2 separate regions of the Mus musculus genome follow, and region 1 is reported to be linked to region 2. Evidence: microRNA targets listed by miRTarBase, many of them from high-throughput screens and not tested one by one. Region 2 holds a microRNA gene; the other region holds the end of a gene's coding sequence.

What was found. Region 2 holds the annotated microRNA mmu-miR-532-5p (CAUGCCUUGAGUGUAGGACCGU, at 1,348-1,369, opposite strand). A microRNA usually pairs through its seed, bases 2 to 8, with sites in the 3' UTR of a target mRNA and lowers its output. Matches are read on the target gene's strand: a 7mer-m8 pairs with bases 2 to 8, a 7mer-A1 pairs with bases 2 to 7 and ends in A, and an 8mer does both.
Region 1: the mRNA of Psd3 is a reported target of mmu-miR-532-5p. Seed matches in the 3' UTR shown: 7mer-A1 at 1,643-1,649.

What each region holds. Positions count from the first base shown.
Region 1 is chr8:67,694,451-67,697,450 of GRCm38, forward strand. Psd3 (pleckstrin and Sec7 domain containing 3) reads right to left here. Exons shown (of 16, transcript NM_177698.4): 16 at 1-2,737. The coding sequence ends at 2,522. Among named protein-coding and RNA genes, the nearest start is that of Gm32888, 170 kb to the right of the region's middle.
Region 2 is chrX:7,247,109-7,250,317 of GRCm38, forward strand. It overlaps Mir532 (microRNA 532), which reads right to left and starts at 1,389; the gene lies at 1,294-1,389. The region is part of intron 2 of Clcn5 (chloride channel, voltage-sensitive 5); the gene reads right to left. Mir188 (microRNA 188) reads right to left here and starts at 948; the gene lies at 881-948.

The DNA of each region.
Region 1 (3,000 bases), not on the chromosome of region 2:
ACAAGAGCTCCCGGTACCGTGTACTGGGCAACAGGCTTAGCAGAGCTGTTCAATGGACCACCTTCCATTTCTTAGGAATCAATACTGTGGGAGAAATGGGGCTGACTATGGGCCAGACTCTTAGAGTCCCATCAGATCTGAGAATGCAGCATCCTTCCAGAGGCCTCAGGGAAGACACATTTTTAGCCTATCCCCAAAGGTAGACAGCATTACACTAGGGCAGGCTGGGATTCTGACTCACAAAAGACTGCTTCAGTTATTTTTCAAGATAAATGATGTAGACAGAGTAGTCCACAGCTTTAAAAGTGCCTTTGTGATCTGATTATCTATAAGCATGTCCAGAAGCTCTAGAGCCAACACTAGTGAGTCCTGTAACAGGAACAGTGGCAGAGCTAATGCTAAGGGTAGTCCTAGACAATTCTCCATGTCAGAAACTCTGCAGCAAGGTACCATTCAATGTATATTAGATACTCTACATAAGTACACACAAACATTCTATACATATAGCACACACTGTGGACAAACACATTTAGACATGTTAACTGTTCAGCTACTGATGCTCTAAGATGATGCTCAAGACTCCAAGGTCTTGGTACCTTTCCCTTCAGGGATTACAAATACTTAGGCAAAAAGCAGACAGTGATAGTTCACCTTCTAGAAGAAAGGCAACTTGCTTGGGGAATATTGGATTCACTAGGATGCTATGAAATAGTTCAGGTATATGGAGCCACAATGTTAACTATCATATTCGCTTCATGGTTCTGAGATATAAATTAAATCACTGCCTTTACTTAAACAAGATAGAAGTTTAGGGAAGTTTTTCCAATAGTGTGGCAAAATACCATGAAGCAAGCAGCTACCGTATTGGAGAGAAGTGTTACTATTCCGGGGCACAAGCAAGGTGGGCATGTACAGAGGTGAAAGAAGTACAGGCTAACACACAGTCCTGTGACTAAATGCTAGTACATCCTAACGAGATGTCTCTATAAACTACCGGGATTTTTTAACAGGCTTACTCTAACTTACTAGAATCATGCTATTCATGCAAGAGCAGCTGATTCTCTGGTCATAGTACCTTCAACTAACCAAGTCGAAATAGAGGAAATATTTAAGGAGAATAAAGAATATCTAAATGTCATCCTGTTAGTTTTTGAAGATATTTTGATGGGAAGATAGTAGTTTTAGAGAATACAGTTTCAAGGCTGGAAACTGGACAGTTTTCAGCCACAGAGGAAGTTCACCTTTTACGCCTTTTTCTTCCTCTACAGACAATACTCTACTTAATACTTTAAATTGTAAAGGGACTGCTTTGACTGTAAAGTGAAACCATTTTGAATGCAGGAAAAAAATAAGATTAAATGTATACAAGTAATTCCAGGAGCAATCTTAATAGTGGCATAGCAAGACCGCTGTAGAGGTGGAGATGAGAATAAGCTAAGACGCTGCTCATACATCAGACCCCTCCATCCTCGGTCACTGTGATCAGACTGATTTCATAGCCCGTCTGATGGCCTGATCTTGATGAAGAACTGCATCTGTGTTGCTCCTTATTTGTCTTGATATAGAAAAGAAAGAGAAGAGTATGTGTGGGGGAAGGTGGTATTCATTTCCAACATTGTTTTGTTTCAACCAGGACATGATCTATGCCTGTACATCTATGTTAAATGAATCTATTCCTGGATGGAAAGGTATCAATCACAGAGATGATTTTGATTCCTAGTCTAGATTCCATGGGAGTGAGGTAACATTTCTATAGAAGACCATACATCCTACTGCTACAGTTCCAAAGAGCTGATTACTGCCACCAGCCTTTAGAAAACAAAAGTGGCTCGGGATCAAGCCATCCTCAGGCTCCCTTCAAGCAAGATGACTCCACTTCTGAATTCCCTTGCATGGCTGGAATGGAATGCACACCTGAGACAAACTCCTGTGCCTCCCTAAGGTCTCCAGTCCTGTCATCCTCGTGCTCCCTTTTGTCCTGTGTCCAGCACCAACAACAGGTGCCAGGAAGAACGCAGAAGTGTCCTATCTTGGGACACCTCGACTCCCAGCGCTGCCATTTTCATGTGAGCAACTATGAACTTTCAACTTCACCTCCGTGACTGGGCAGGATTTCACATGTAAAGTCTAGGATTTACTAAAAGCACAATGCTTGTCCAGTTATGGGTTTCACAATGGATTAAAAATTTAAACCTAAAAAAAAATACAACAACTGATTGGTAATACACAAAATAACTGTATAGAAGTGCAAATAAGAGAAAGCCGAAGAGAAAGGATCTGTAGCCCTCCTCCTCCTCCTCACAAAAGGTGCATTAGTTATAAAGTTGTCCAAATCATCAAAGCAAAGGAACTCAAGAGCAAAGACACCTGTACAGAAACTAACAAAAATATATAATAGAAAAGGTTACTAATGCACCGTTTAGTCACAGACTGTTTTTTAAATATATTCACGGATTACCAGAAAGATCTTGAAAAACCCTATTTTGTTCCATGACCAGCACCTCCTGGCCGCGGATGGATTCTAAGTAACTTTTTGCTTAATGCCCGGTGTTTCAGGTCGGTGGTCTTTTCTCTCTGACACGTTGCGCTTGACCTTGGCAGTGACTGGAGATGCATCTGGGTTGAGGGAGGGACTTGAGTGTGACTTCTTCAGTCCCACGGGCTCATTTCCATCGGTAGTCAGGAGCTCTTTGCCTCCTTCTTTCAGAACGCTGACATAAATCTCATAACGGGTTTTCTAAAGGCAAAATCAGAGAAGTGTGGTCAGTACAGTTTACAATTACATGTGTGTAGCACACCTAGCATGTTCTTACACATGACATCATACGTTTTTGAATATTTGACTTTATCCCAAGCTGACAAAATACTTCTGTACCCATAACTGTGAAACGATGACTGCCTCATTTATTCAAGTAAGAAACTAACCTACAATTTCCATTAGTATTTATTCTAGATTCGGAAGGAATACCAACGTACTAGATAGAGTACAGGCATCTGAAA
Region 2 (3,209 bases):
CAGTATCAAACAAAAAAGAACTATCCAAATAAATGTCTTAAAGCTATCATACACTCTCCTGCACAAAGAAATATATATGTGAGAAAGCAGGACACAGTGCGGGTTTTTCCACTCCCTGAAATCTAGTATATATGTGAACAAATGCATCTAAAGAAGTACGTGCAAATTTCCTCATAGCATAAGCTTATGAGAAATAGCTAGATGGCTTTCTTTCCAGCTAACTTGAGAATGAGAGTCCTGAGAAGGCTCTCTCTGCTCCCCTATATACAGGAAAAGCAAGACCAGGACAAAAGACTTCCCTTCTTTCTAAGCAATAACTGTCACCAAAGGTAAGGGTCCATACTCTGTACAAAATACAATACAAAATTAGAAGGTAAGAAGGCTGGAAATATAACTCAGTTGATAAAAGTATGCCTAGAACTCACAGAACCCTGGGTTCCATCCCCAGCACAGCAGAAACCAGGCGTACATTCCTATAATCCTAGCATTCAGGACAAAGAGGCATGAAGATCAGAATTGGAACATCAAGCCAGGCATAGCCACTCCAGTCTTATATCTAGCACTGAGAAGGCAGAGGCAGGCGAATTTCTGAGTTTGAGGCCAGCCTGGTCTACAGAGTGAGTTCCAGGACAGCCAGGGCTATACAGAGAAACCCTGTCTCGAAAAAAAGTGCTCCATCATCATCCTTAGCTATGCAGGGAGTTCAAAGGCAGCATGGGACACATGAGCCCTCCCTGGAGAAAGAAAACTGTGAGATGTGCATGTCAGGTGGAAGACAGGACAGATGGCTGTTTCCTTGGGTATGTGGGGTTTTCTTTATGAAGTTGTGTATGCATATGTCCACCATGCACAAGAGAGCAAGGAAAGCTGAAGCTCACCATCCTGCAAACCCTGCATGTGGGAGGGGTTTTCAGAGAGCTCACCCTCCACCATGCAAGGGATGTGAGAGAGGGAGCAGGGAAGGGTTCACTCTCTTGGCACAACAGGTAGGTACTTTCTATGGAAAAAGCAACAGAAAGCAGCCCAGGGATCACGCAGAAACAACAAACCAGCTACATGAAACTGATGGTGGGTAAGGCAGGAGGAACACACACATGCGGACCAAGAGGGGCATTACAGGCAGGAAAGTCACTTGGAAGAGATAGCGAATGGCAATGCTGTGTGTATATATATACATATATATATATGTATATATATATATATATATGCGCCACACAGAGAGCACATGAGAGAGAGGAGACATGTCTTTGCTGTAGATGTATATGCAGTCATGCCTATGCACAGGAGAGAGAAGAGAAGGCTTGCTCTCCTGCAAGCCTTGGGTGTGGGAGGGTAATTAAGATGTCAACGGTCCTACACTCAAGGCATGGAAGAGAAAAAGCAAATCTGTAGGCGTGCTCTCCTGTGTACAAATCAGCATGCATGTACAACAGTGTGTCTTTGTCTGTGTTGTATGTTGGTCCTGAAAGGTATGATGACTGCCTTAGACATAGCACAATGAAAAGGTGTATTTGTGAACATGCACATATATGCCTTTAGGAGTGTTCACTTCCTATGGACTATTTGTTTTTATACTCTTAATTATTCATTTTATTTATTCACTTTATATTCCACTCACTGCCCCCTCTTCCAGTTGTTTTTAATATTCTTTTCTTTTTATTCCCAATGCCAGTTTATATTTGCTCTTGGTAGAGTATTAAGTTGTGGTAATTTGTTAAGCTCTTCTATGTTTCTTTTTTTTAAATTAGATATTTTCTTTATTTACATTTCAAATGTTATCCCCTTTCCTGGTTTTCCCTCTGAAAACCCCCTTTGCCATCCCCCTCCCCCTGCTCACCAACCCACCCAGTCCCACTCCCCTGCCTTGGTATTCCCCTATACTGGTGCATCGAGCCTTCTCAGGATCAAGGGCCTCTCCTCCCATTGAGGTCCAACAAGGCCATCCTCTGCTACTTATGCAGCTGGATCCATGAGTCCCTCCATGTGTACTCTTTGGTTGGTGGTTTAGTCCCTGGGAGCTCTGGGGCTACTGGTTGGTTCATATTGTTGTTTCTGCTATGGTGGATGCTCTCATCCAACCACTGGATGAGAGCATTCACCTGAACCTCCACATAGCTAACACACTCCCCTCCCACATTCCTGAGCTAAAATTTATTAAATCTATATTTTATCTTTGCTGTCCTGAACCCTTTTGGGCAGCCCTTCTGGGGCCACCTTCCCCTTTGTGTAGTCTCCCCTCCCCCAGCCTGAAACCTTGCTTGCTCAGGGGTGGAGCTTCCCGCTCAATCTTTCTGCCACGCCTACTGCTGGAACCTGCCGCTTTGCTGTTCCGAAGCCATCACGTGATCACCCTGCTACTGGATCCCAAGATTATTTGGCGGGAATTGGGCCCCTTCCCCCTTCCTTTATAACTGAGTGCCAAAATAGTAAAAATTGAACCGTGAGCAGAGAGCTTTGTCTTGGTTCCTTCCTTATCTCGCGCAGCCCAGCCCCTCTTCTCTTCCAGGTTTCCAAAATGCCTTTCCAGGCTAGAACCCAGGTTGTGATCTACTGGCCAGACACAACACCTTTGTACCTACATTTCAGCTGTCTCTCCCTCCTGTACCTTCCCTGCATAGTCTGTCACTTGTGCCCTTGTCATTGTGGAATCCCCTCTTCCTTCTCTGCTGTGCTTCTTGCTGGGGAATCCTGCAAGTCTGGCTTCTGTCTCCCTGCCCAGTCACTGGTCACTGGCAACTTTATTTCCCAATCAGAGCCAACTAGGAGCAGAGACCCTCAGCACAGACATGTGGGCTCCCATATGATTTCAGGAGCCAAATTAACACAAATAACATTAGAACCAATCTGCAACATTAAGTACTTTTCATATACAACTAATTTGTTCCCACAAATATCTATGAAGTAATGATCATGTTCCCTGTCCTACAGATGAAACAATACCAGGTCATACTTAAAGAACAGCTAGAAAGAATGATTATAGGATATAATCTGGGTGTAGCAGTACACCCTCCATAATCTCAGCAATGAGAGGCTGAGGCAGGTGAATAGCAAGTTGGAGACCTGACTGCTTTACATTGTACAATCATGTGATCAAAATAAAAATCAACAAACAAAAAAGAAAGCTGAGAATGTGTAATGTGAGCCATCAGAAAGAAAGCCGGAAAAGTGGGCTTTATCTCCTGATCATATTTGTGTGCTCACACAAAAGG